2 linked regions of the Drosophila melanogaster genome follow. The protein of the gene in region 1 interacts with the protein of each later gene in a pairwise test. Each region holds a gene or a part of one and is shown in the gene's direction. Other genes may lie near its edges.

Region 1 (4,561 bases):
CTGTCCTTTTGCCTGCAGTTCGCATATCGCTTACAGTCGAAAAGCAGATGAAAAAGGGCAGCCAACGGTTCGGATTCCGATTCTGATTCTGTCACATGGAAAAAATCACTGGAAAAAATCAAGATGAAAACTTTGTTCTTTCACACGCCAATTTAACCTTCAATTTCAATAGATTTAATAAGAGCAGCAGCTCTGTCATCTAGTCTTATTTAATATTTTCCGCCTGCGACAAGACCGCGGAAGAAAAAAGCAGAGGGCATGGAAGAAGATCCGGAGCAGGCAACTCTTTTGTTGGGCTTAGCACTAGTCCAGGTCGCATTTATTTTCAGGCTGCGGGAAAGCACAACGCCCGAACCACTCAAACGCCTCGACGGGACTCAATTGTGTTTGAGATCAATTTGCAACTTAATTGAAATCCATTTAAAGTAATGAGAGTTACTAACTTGTCCTGCCCCGACCCTAAATCCTTTCGCTACCCTCCGCACTTCATTGTTTTCCCATCAGCACCGCTTTTGCTACCCTTTACGGTGGCCGCAGGCTTTATTTTGATCCCGTGCTCAAGAATTATAATCCCACGCTGCACAGTAGTGGCCGAGATACAGATACCTGTGGCGGCATCCTCCCATCTTCCGATTGTTCCGATAGTCCTGATTGTCTTGTTGTCCTGCGGCCACATATCTATTTGCGAGCCGTGCAAATGCAAATTGTCCCTAATGTAGCTCAAGTAAGTAGCAATCGCCCAGTTCCCCGCGGCGAGGATTCTCCTTGGAATTCGAATCGAGTAGCCGAAATGGAACTGGTTCCGAATGGAAGAATTATAAAAAATAATATGTAAAAATTAAACAAAAGTCATGGTACCGTAAAAATTACACCATTCTATAGTTTAGAAGCTTATTTCATTGCTGTTTTCAACTATATATACTATATATTATATTCTATTTGAGCATGATCCGCCATCCTGACCAACGTCGTCTATAAGTTTATGCTCTCCAAATCTGAAATTATTTCAATGTAAATTCGAATTTCCGAACTAGTTTACTGGCACCAGCACACGTAGGAACCACTCGAATTAAAATCTTTTTTTGGCTTCGATGCGCGCAAAAAATATGCAAAATAAATGCGGGCAAAAAATCGCTGGCCAAGTCCATTAAAAGGGAATAAGTGCGTGCAAATCCTGGCCGCAGGATGTTTTTCATATTATCAGAACGCATATTACTTCATCGGAAATGAAGAGCTTTCGTTCCCCCCGCTAGTTGCCAAAGTAAACATGTGTGAATTGCTCGGGAAAAGTGAGGGATGATGGGCGGGATGATGGCCATGATATCCATATCTGTATCCGTATCCATAACCATAACCACGCGCCTTTTTCGCTACACTAAAACCGCAATACAAACACACCCACACCCACTTAAGAGAACGGAAAAAAGAACGAGGGGCACAGGATATGTTGGATGGAATGTACTGTGCACCACATTCAAGTTGATCCCCTTGTAAATCTCTAAATTGTTTTATGAACATATTGGCCGGGAAGGTGTAAACCTAATTTTCCTTTATGAACCGGACGAGGCAGGTAAAGTGGAAGTGCATCCATACCCGGACTTTTTGTTCCGGCTCAGCAGGATGCACTCCATATCAATGTGCTCTTTGTTTGGCCGCCTCATTTAAATCGTACCGCTGGCCAATTTGCATTCGCACTACAGCCAAATTGATCCGCCCTAATCCCAGTTTTAGTTTTGGTTCCCGAACTTCTTCTTCGCTACTTCGAGCGACCGACCGATCGACCGAGATTTATAAGCGCGGGATTTGAATTTGCTAGAAAAACAAAACTCCTCTGCCTTTTCCTCAGGCTTTAGCCTTAGCCCTGGTTTGGCTATGTTTCTGGCTGGGATTGGCTTGGATCTGGATTTCGGTCCGATCCGGCTTGGCTTCTGCTCTGGCTTTAACTTTGCGCTTGCCCTTTGCCGGGAAGGTCTGAACCAGAGTTTTGAAGTCAGTCGGTTGACCGGAAAAGGCCTTCAAGGGGTTGGCCGCGAGGGCAGGGAAATATAAGGGTTTTATCATTTAAGAAATGAAGAGATTTTGTTGGAATAAGTAATTCTTCAAAAATGAATAAAATTTCATTTCATTAATTTGCGGCATAATTTCATAATTATTAATTATATAAATTTTGTAATATATTGTATTGATTTTTAAGACAATTTTTTTTAATATGTATCTATGAGATTCTAAGTTAGAAACAATAATTATTATATCTAAAAGTAACATGGTGGCGCCATCTGTTGTTCCCTGAAAGCCCCTGTACTTAATTTCCGGTAACAGTAATAAGACGCCATCTGGAGTTCGCGTTGTTTACAATCTGTACACACACTGGAATTAACAGCTGTTACAGTCCGATAGACGATTATTCACATCACAATCTTAAACTGCTTTTAAAAAGATATTATTTAAAATTATTTACAAAGAAAACAACCAATTGCCAAATCAAAATTATAATGAATCATTATTAAAGCGCTTCATATGAACCAAAATATATAATTCTGTGAAGCGGTCGCTAGATTTCAGTTTCTGGCCACATTTTGGATAATTTGGCAACACTGCAATCTTGTTATTGCTTATGCTGAGAAGTAAACAAAAGGCGACGAATGTTTGTATTTTCCTAATAAAAGCCAATGGAGGATTGGAAATCGGAGGAAATGGCAAGGAAAAGAAACAGGAATAGGAGCAAGCAGCGCAGACGAAGGCAGAAAAGTGAGGGAAAGCCGAAGCCACATACATCTCGAGATCAGTGGAGCAATGTGGCTCAAAGTAACAATAATAGTCATTAATAAGTTTTTTAATAGTGTTAACCATTTAAAATTCCCTGTTATTGTAGTATACCAAAGCCTTTTTGAATGGCACCACAATCATGTTATGAGTCTCTGCCCTGAGGTTAATCCGAATCTGGATCAGGACCTTGAGGATATTCCCAAGGAAACAGGAACGTTTCACTGCCTGGACTACGTGTACGAGAGTTCTTCCGAGGATGAGGAGATCGAACCCATTGACGAGGGCTATCTGAAGTTCCTCGAGGTGACCATTAAGCATCAGCAGGAACTCAGGGATCGAAGAACTGCCCAAACCACCGACTCTTTAGATTAGAATTTTGGTAAAATAGGTTTTTACGCAGATGAAAACTTACAGTTCATTTTTATCTGGTAATGACTTAAAAATGTATCTTACGTAAAATGTTATAATTTAAGCTCAAGTTTATAGGTTTGGTATTTAGTTTTGGTAAGCAGAAAATGTACCTTTTATAGGGGATATTTTTATATGTAGCACTTTGTCTTGAACGTATTAAGTATATAAGATGTTTTGATAACTTAATGTTCATACTTAGCCATTCTAACTGAATGCCTCAAAGGGCTAGAATCAAGACCTGCGTAGGACGAAAAAGCAACTGTACTTTAATTCCCGGAACTCTTCAAGCGGGAGACAAGTGTCTGATATTCTGCTTTTCTCACATGGTTCTCCACTAATGAAGTTGTGCGAAGTTGGCAGTTTTTTGGCCAAAGGAAACGCACATTAACCCGACCAAGACTAATGCGATGTCATTTATAATCGCGCTGGGAGAACCAGAAGAAAGCTTCAAATTGGGGCATGACTAAAAAGGGAGAGGGGCTTTTGGTAGGATGGAGGACCATTTGTGGGTCAGAGACAATGTCTGCTGCTCGTGTGGGCGTGGCAAGTTGGGCATTAGCCAACATTTTTCGGCACTTTTCAGCAGAAAACCTAATTAAGACGTCCGACTCTGAGTGGCAATGGATTTTCTTGGCTTACTTATATCCCCCATCCTCTCTCTCCTGACCAAGCTCCTCCGCCCCACGGAGCTCGTTTCCCACCTGCTCCTCATTCTCCACTGAAATCACGACTGGCGACGACAACTGCGAACGACCTTTCTAATGCCCGGCCACTGCATAAATCATGGCCCAAATGGCGGCCACCTGCAACCGGCAGCAATAGCAGTAAGCCAACAGCAACTGCAAGTGCACTGTAAGAAATCGCATTGCTCGATAGTCCTTTATGCTCACATTTAATTCTCATTACTTCAAAATATGAGTTTCTCCCAGTCCATTTATCTTCGGTGTTCAGAAAACCATTTGTTGTTACAAAATTCCCATTCGAATTCGTTCAGTGTAGCTAATAAGGCTTTGCTTGCATCGCGAACGGAAACGGCAACTAAAACTTAAGCTAAAACTAAAAGCTAGGATAGGATCTGGGGAATCACAGTTGGACATTCACCGAACGGGAGCAATAAAAGTTTAGTAAAATTAAAATTGAGATTTCAATAGAAAGTTAGGCTCCACCCACCGAAGAGAAGAGAATGATAAAATCGAATAGAACAAAAAATTCGTTTCCCTATGAAAGAAAGCCATTCCACTAGAGGCAATAACTTAATATCGGCAGTAACTAGTTAAAGTAGTCATGGAATCTTCTTCTAGATGCTACTTTAAATTATCATACTGCTATACTTGAAACATCCAAGAAGTCATAGAAGTGGAATCCCGTGGAGCAACCACAGAAG
Region 2 (8,657 bases), 7.2 Mb from region 1:
ATTTATTTAGTTTCAAGTATCATTTCCATAAAGTCAACTGACAAGTACAAGTTGTTATCTCTTGGAGTGTGCAAATAAATAGATTTAGGCACTGTTTGATAGTATAAATTTCGCGCGGAGGTAAAAGCAACAATGAGTTATCTCTAGGTTCCCTCTGAATACCTATAATGTGAAATTTTATGTTTTATGTTTTGACCACTATAACTATTTCTTTCCATTTTTTCTGTAGTTAATCCAGGACCAGAAACTTATTTACTCGGGCAAGCTATTAGATGACTCCCAAAAGATATCTGAGGTGATACGCAGCTACAAGGATGTCTACCAACAGCACCACATATTTCACTTGGTGTGTGCCAGCAAGCAAGTGATAAGGCCGGCTGCCAAAGCCCCCACTGTTCCGCAGAAGGATGCGGTTCCAGCTGGGCCCGAGGTCACTGGGAATGCAAATGAGCTGCGACAACGTCATGCTCCACATCAGCAGCAGGCACAGCAGGGCAACGCTGGACCACACGTGACGGGTGACATCGGTTTGGCCAATCCCTGGACACACTTCTGGCAGCAGAGCCAGGGAGCAGCACCTGCTGCCAATGCCAGTGCCAGTCCCCATGCTTTGTTCCAGCAGCAGGCGCTCATCTACAACGCCTGGATGCAGCAGGCTTACGCGCAGTACATGCAGCAGTTGACTCTACGGTAAGTGAACAGAACCAGAAGGCTAAAGGAACACACTTGATCCAACAATTAATTCACTGATATCAGAAGCGAGCGAATCAAATTACACAGAGCTCGATAGCGAATACATTTTATTTTTCTCAGAAGGAGAAACACTTGTATTTAGTCACTCTTAAGAGGTACTTTATTATTCAAGTGAGATCAAAATGCTGTTTTAGCATTTTTAAAGTTGTTTCTTGATTATTTATAATCTTTTTATTATTTTGGTTATCAGGCGTGCTAAAATTGTAGTATACTTGTATGGCCACGATTACAGTTAAATAATATAATTTTGGGGTCGCTCCCGAAGAATTTATTGTGCGCAATTAAGTTTTGCATGTAAACGAACAATTATTTTCTATAATATTGAATGCTATGATTCTTACACAACAATCTTATATTATACCCACAGTTCTACGTTGCCCGGTTCGAACCAATCTGGCTTGCCGCCACCGACTCAACCCCTGTTGCCCTCAGTCCCACTGATTGCTGGGCGAAACTTCGGGGAGGTACAACAAGTGGCAGGAGCAGCTGCTGCCCCAGCGGCACAGGTACCTGCTGATCCTCAGATTAATGGAGCGCCGCAGAACAGAAATTTTCCCAACATTCAGGAGGAACCGGAAATGCACGACTGGCTGGATAGTTTCTTTAGCTTTACGCGATTGGCCATTTTTGTGACTGTCCTGTACTTTAACTCCTCAGCGCTGCGTTGTTTACTGGTGGTGCTCATCGCGGGTGCGATTTATCTGTAAGTACATTTCCTCTTTGATTCGAATTGAAAAGTTTACACATATATTGAAATTATAATTGTTTGTTAGATATCACATTGGTGTCCTTCGACGTCGCCGCGAGCGGAACAATAACAACATAAATCGTAACAATAATGCTGGCGATGCGGCCGCCTTTGCTGCAGTGCAGCAAATTCAGCGCATGATGGATGCGGCCGTGCAGCGGGAGAACAACGATCCCCAGGCGGCCAATGAGCCTGGTGCAGTGCCAGCGGCTGGACCTGCTGCTGCTGGTGAACAAGATGCAATCGATGCACCTCCGGCTGGGGCTCCCGTTGCTCCAGCATCCGCTGCTAATCCAGAACCGACTGACGTTTCCGCGGAAGCTGTGGAACCACCAAATGCCAATAATTCTGTGATTTCCGTTGTGCGCACCTTTGTCATCACGTTCTTCACCTCGCTGCTGCCCGAGGCGCCGGCGCTCTAGAGGATCGAACTGTACGTTATACAGAGGGACGTGTTTGACCATCCACAAACCAGCTTTACAGCTTTACGGCTTTCCTCTTTTAAAACTCCCATAATCAAACTGTTATTCCGTTTTCCTTTTGAGTTTTGTGCATACCTGAGAATGTAGCAAAAACAAACAATTTGTTTTACTAGCTGTAATAATCATGTATATTTATTTCCGAGTGTTAGCCAAGTTACAACATGGTGACTGCTGCCTCAATAGCTCGTAGAATTTTAGATATCTAAGAACGTACTCTGTTTTTGATGTGAATAGTAGAATGTTTATAATCTGCACTGCAATCTGTGCTAGAGACGAACCTATGAAACCAAGATGCAATTAAAATAAAACGTATGCTTTAACACCAAAAACCGAAATCGAAAAGTGGTGTTTACAAGGTGCAATTTTATCTATAAAAAATATATCTACGATTTAAATGAAGAACATACTGTTTTTAAATGTTTTCAACATCATTGGCATTGTTTTTAAAATCTTAAAAGAATCTTTAATTTAATAACATATAGACATATGAACATATGCATAGACACATATTGACTATTAAAAAATATATTTTTAAAATTTAAAATGTTATTATTTTAAACAATTTTGAATGATTCAATAAGGAAATAATCGGTTTTTTCCCGAAAATTTGTATAAGAATTGCATTGTGTAAACAGCGCTTGAGGAATTTTCCCCGGACGATTCTCTTAATTCTTAGAAACTTCTCTTATCAAAGTGGAAAATTTTCAGCCGAAAATCGAACGGAGATCCGGATTCCCTCACGGGTAAGTGACAATCACCAGCAGCTCGCTCTTTTTGCCCAGCTAACGCACAAAATTGGTTTCTTTTAGCTGCGATGAGATGCATGGAGAGCACGGCTTATCGCTGGATTTACGACTGGGTCCAACTGCTGATTAGAGGCTGTTTCGCTGACTGCCTCCATCGATGCCTTTAGAAGAGTACCAGAGCTCGGAGCCAACGGATCGGATCATTCCACTCAGGCCAAGAATAAGCACAACGGTTACAATTAAATTCGCACTTCATCTGCTCGAACTGATCCCACAAAGCTGCCGAAACATGTGGCGAGTGATTCAACTGCGCGCAACAATCGCGCATCCGTTCACCAGACAACGTCATGTGAGTTGATTCAACTCCCCAATTGCAGCCACATTGAATAATCGCATTCATACGAATGTAAAAGATATTAATTTTTAAAATATATATACTAAATAAATATCCCAATCTTTTGCTCTTTCAGAGTCGAGTGATTGCCATTCGGCGAGAGGATCAGTCGGTGTGGGAGCGACGAGCTCCGTTTGGACCAACCCACGTCCAGAAGTTGGTCAAGCAGAATGTCAAGGTCATAGTGCAGCCGTCCAATCGTCGTGCCTACCCCATGCAGGTGAGCTCAATTTGAAATTAAAATTTCGTCACATTATCCATAGGTTGTAACTTTCCATGGCCAGTTGGCAACGGATTTATTGAGTCTGCAGGGCTAATCGCCCATGGAAATCATATCGGTCGGTAGTCGTCAGGGCAACAAGTACGCGTGTATAGGTAGCATAGTATGGTATTTATATGGTATGGAGGCACACACGCCCCCCAAGTGCTGCATCATAAATATAAACTCGGATGATAAGCCTCCATGGAGCTCTAAATTTGGCAATTGGCCCGGCCTTGAAATCGAGTACAAAACAAACGACGAGGAGAGGAAAAACAATGGGAAGCAAAGCTTATCGTTTGCAGCAATGATTTCAAGGAATCTATATAATGTATTAAGGTGATTTTTAGAGTTGATAACATTTTCAAAGGGTCACGTGAGAAAGAACTAAACTAACTAAAATAATTTTTGAAGAAGGTAAAGCACTTAATTTAAAGTACCCCACTGACACACCCCAACAGTAAATGCAATTACAAAACGATTAGCAAATGGTACTGGAAAAAATTAGAAAACCTAATCAGATTTAATTAAGTTGAGGGGCAAGGGGATTAAATGTTTCACACGTGTATAGTACAATCATCATCTTTCGCCTGATGCATTGTAAAGATTACCACGTAGCAGGATGAATAGAATAGATAAGCGGGGCACTTAACTAAATAAAAACAAATAATAACATTGAGTTGATTTGTTTTTCCGGAACAGGCCTACATGCAGGCTGGAGCTCATATTCAGGAGGACATCAGTGATGCTTCGGTGATATTCGGAGTGAAACAGGTGCCCATAGATGCACTGATTCCTGGGAAGACCTACTGCTTCTTTTCGCACACGATTAAAGCGCAGGAATCAAATATGCCGCTTTTGGATGCTATTTTGGAGAAGGTTCCTATCACACATAAGAGTTAAATGAAGTTTTTCATATTATATTGCCACTGTTTTATCCATAGAAAATTCGGCTCATCGACTATGAGCGAATCATCGACGAACGCGGAGCACGACAGGTGGCCTTTGGCAAATATGCCGGAGTGGCTGGCATGGTGAACATCCTGCACGGCATTGGACTGCGTCTTTTGGCCCTGGGACATCATACACCATTCATGCACATTGGACCCGCTCATAACTATCGCAATTCCTCGATGGCTCGCCAGGCAATCCGGGATTGTGGCTACGAGATCTCGCTTGGCATGATGCCCAAGTCCATTGGACCACTTACATTTGTGTTCACTGGCTCTGGAAATGTTTCCCAAGGTGCCCAGGAGGTGTTCTCCGAGCTGCCCATTGAGTATGTTCCACCGGAGATGCTACGCAAGGTGGCCGAACATGGAAGTGAGTCAAGTGGAATCCTGCATTAGTTAATTCTGAATGAACTACAATTTGTATTTAACGTTAGATCAAAATAAGCTTTACGGCTGCGAGGTGAGCCGATCGGATCATCTGGAGCGTCGTGAGGGCGGCGGATTTGATGCCAAGGAATACGATGAGTTCCCCGAACGATACATCTCCACCTTTAGCACGAAGATAGCTCCGTACGCATCGGTTATTGTTAACGGCATCTACTGGGCCGTAGGCAGTCCCAAGTTGATCAGCATTCCGGATGCCAAGAATCTGCTACGTCCGGCAAACACTCCCTGGCTGCCGACGAGCAAGGGTAGTCCGGCTTTGCCACATCGCATGCTGGCCATTTGCGACATTTCCGCTGATCCCGGTGGCTCCATTGAGTTTATGAACGAGTGCACCACCATCGACACTCCATTCTGCTTGTACGATGCGGACAGGAATAAGGATACCAAGAGCTTTAAGGGACCCGGAGTTTTAGTCTGTTCGATTGATAATATGCCTACACAATTGCCCAGAGAATCGACGGATTTGTTTGGAGAGCTGTTGGCTCCTCATGTTCATGATATTATAAAGAGCGATGCCAAGAAGCCGTTGGCAGAGGAGAACTTCTCATACCCCATTCAGTCGGTGAGTTCACTTTGCCTTACCTTTATATTACATTTATAAATTTACCTAAAGTTAATGATTTATATTGTAACTTACGCTTTGAAGAGTTGTTTTCTTAACCTAAACCAATGTGCATCATGCCTTGTTATCAGCATCTGTTATCAGCTAATAAATTCCGTTTCTCTTTGCTCGTTTTCAGGCTATTATCGCCAGCAACGGTCAGCTGACGGAGGGCTTCCAGTATATTCAGGAGCTCCGAGAGTCGCAAAGCCACAGATCGCGCCACAAGATGGAGGGAAGTTCGGAGTCTGACAAGAAGGTCTTGGTTCTGGGAGCTGGCATGGTGTCCGCTCCACTCGTAGAGTGGCTTCATCGCGAAAAGGACGTCAGCATAACGGTTTGCTCGCAGGTCAAGGAGGAAGCCGATCGCCTGGCTCAGCAGTATGCTGGAGTGGACAGCGTCTATCTGGATGTGAACGAGAGCACTGGTCATCTGCAGGAGCTGTGCGGCAGGGCAGATGTAGTAGTTTCCCTGCTGCCCTACAGTCTCCATGGCATGGTGGCACGTTATTGCGTGGCAGAGGGCACCCACATGGTTACCGCAAGTTATCTGAACGACGAGATCTCCGGTTTGCACGAGGAGGCCAAGGCCAAGGGTGTGACCATCATGAACGAGGTGGGCTTGGATCCTGGTATCGATCACCTTCTGGCACTGGAGTGCATCCACGAGGTGCAGGACAAGGGAGCAGTTGTCGAGTCCTTCGTGAGCTATTGTGGCGGTCTGCCTGCACCGGAGCATTCCAATAATGCCCTAAGATATAAGTTCTCTTGGTCACCCAGGGGAGTACTTCTCAACACACTTTCCGCTGCAAAATATCTGAGTCAGGGACAAATTGTGGAGATTTCTGGAGGTGGGGAACTCATGTCAAGTCCTCGCAGCTTGGATTTCCTGCCAGGATTCGCCCTGGAGGGTTTCCCCAACAGGGATTCCACCAAATACGGCAACCTTTACGGCTTAGGCAGGGATGTGCACACTTTGCTTCGTGGAACCATACGTTATAAGGGCTTTTCGGAATCGATTAAGCCTATGCAGCTCTTGGGACTTATCGATCCGGAGCCACATGCATTGCTACATCCCAGTGGGCCGGATGTCACGTGGCGCCAGCTGGTGATCCATCTAATGGGCATGTCGGACTCGACCATCTTCTACGAGAACCTCAAGCAGAAGCTGACTGAGCGCATTGGAGATGTGGACGGCATCGAGAGCTTGGGTCTGCTGGATGATACTCCTGTGGTGAAGCTCAACACTCCGCTGGATACGCTTAGTCACTATCTCTCGAAGAGACTTGCCTTCGGTGGGTTAACCATTTAATTCTAAACTGATTTTATAATTAATCATACTATTCATTTACAGAGCGGGATGAACGCGACCTGGTGGTGCTGCGCCATGAAGTTGGCATCCGTTGGCCCGATGGTCGTCGTGAGGAGCGTGGAATCAATTTTGTGGTCTACGGACAGCCCCAGGGTCACTCCGCCATGGCGATGACTGTGGGCAAGCCGGCTGCCATCGCAGCCAAAATGATCCTAGACGGTGGGTTCCCTTATCAGTACTCTTAAAAGCCGTTTAAATAATTCCAAATCATCCCATTTCAGGTGAGATCCAGGAACGCGGCGTCCTGCTGCCCTTCACTCCCGACATTTATCGTCCCATGCTGCAACGTCTGCGCTCCGAGGGTCTGACTGCCACGGAAACCTCCAGATGGCTAAATTAAGTGATCTTAACTGATCCCGAGAAAATAGGCTTAAGTCTTCATTAATATTACTTTTTTGACTGCCCACCGCGTCGGGTGATACTTCTTGTTTTATCGCTCGGGTATTTCGTTGTTTGATAAGAGTGTCATTACGTTATCATAATACTGAAATAAGTTTTATAACTAGAGCTACTTGACGTACGTAAACAAGTTGAAGTCGTTGTCCAAATTGTGAAACATGTTTCCTTAACGTGAATTCACTACGAGCCTGATTGTAAGTGATTAAATATTTATGGAAAATAATAATACTGTATAAGTGGATTGTATTTAAAGATATAGAAGGCCTGGAATATACAACATTGATTATGATCATAAACGTGTATTCCAATTTTCCGTGCGATTTAATCTTTAAGATTCGATTTCCGTTCGATTGTCCCTGTAGCGCCTGGCAACCCGATCTGCGAAGGGTTATCATCCGAACTTGAACTAATTTTAAATGAAGAAACCCGATTTCAATCTATATTTAGTGCGGCATAAAACATCTTTGGTGATCCGATTGGATCCGTTTGCGAGGCGGTCATTAACGTTTATAATTGTAATAAACAACAAACAGGCCACACATCTCCCTGGAATTACTGTGGAAAATGTGGAGCCCGAGACTGATAACCTCTCTGCCGGGCAGCAATTTAGTTGCCCATGGAGTGGGAGCGCGCAATCTCGCGTTTTACAAATTTTAATTCACATTCATTCAATGCAAAGCACACACACAATCTTTTTTGCAGATAAGATTGTGCGGGCTAGTGATGCCAATTACACGTAGTTAAACAAGTAATGTACATTTACTTCTGCGGTAAGTAAAAGGTTTTCTTTTAAAGATGTTTCTTATCTGGGGTCTGATTTGAGGATTGGGAAATTGTTCTCTGCATGAAATTTGCTAGATTCCACTTTAATAATACACGAAAATTTTTACTTTTAAAAAACGTTTTTTTCTAAAACTTTCTAAGTGCTATAAACGCAATAACGGAAACATGGAAAATTCATAGTTCGTGAAGAGAACATCCGGCGGAGGGGACTGGGGAAACCCGGATCAATTCCAAAAAACCGCCAAATGAGCATGACTGGTGTGCGGTGCGCACTGGGATTCGTTGTTGTGGAACCCAAGTCGCGGTCGACGTCGCGAATTAAGCGCTGGGCCATCGGGCCTGATAAGTCCGCGTCCGCAGTTCCCATTCAGACGCCGGTCCGTCCGGAATAAAGTACGTGTGTGTTCTCTTCATCTTTTGGGGCGGTCGTATATACGTCTGCGTGCTCGTCTCTTCGTCCGGTTCTTCTTCTTCGCCAGTTGTACGAGTGCAGTAGGAGTAACTGTTGTTTGCGTGTTGCGTGTTCTGGAGAGCGGCGGACAAACCGATTATTTAATTTAGCCAACCGCATTCCGCTTCTCGCGAGCCTCCCGCGTGTGAACGAATCCGTAAATCGCCTACATATCTGTGTAGATCCGCAGATGTTATACAATATGCCGAACTAGCCAACTGACCCGTAGCAAAGGTCAAGCCGATACGCGCTAATCACACTTCCGATCC

What was found.
Region 2: the proteins of CG13689 (region 1) and LKRSDH interact in a two-hybrid assay, tested with the Drosophila melanogaster proteins (one large-scale study listed by BioGRID).

Annotation. Positions count from the first base shown.
Region 1 is NT_033779.5:600,202-604,762, forward strand, and holds CG13689 (uncharacterized protein), read left to right. Parts: upstream 1-2,611; 5' UTR 2,612-2,669; coding exon 2,670-2,805; intron 2,806-2,872; coding exon 2,873-3,138; 3' UTR 3,139-3,361; downstream 3,362-4,561.
Region 2 is NT_033779.5:7,790,196-7,798,852, reverse strand, and holds LKRSDH (lysine ketoglutarate reductase/saccharopine dehydrogenase), read left to right. Parts: upstream 1-2,893; 5' UTR 2,894-3,018; coding exon 3,019-3,078; intron 3,079-3,199; coding exon 3,200-3,343; intron 3,344-4,084; coding exon 4,085-4,261; intron 4,262-4,326; coding exon 4,327-4,705; intron 4,706-4,769; coding exon 4,770-5,344; intron 5,345-5,522; coding exon 5,523-6,678; intron 6,679-6,737; coding exon 6,738-6,914; intron 6,915-6,976; coding exon 6,977-7,095; 3' UTR 7,096-7,678; downstream 7,679-8,657. Other genes in the region: Herp (Homocysteine-induced endoplasmic reticulum protein), read left to right, coding at 230-690, 1,121-1,456, 1,527-1,923.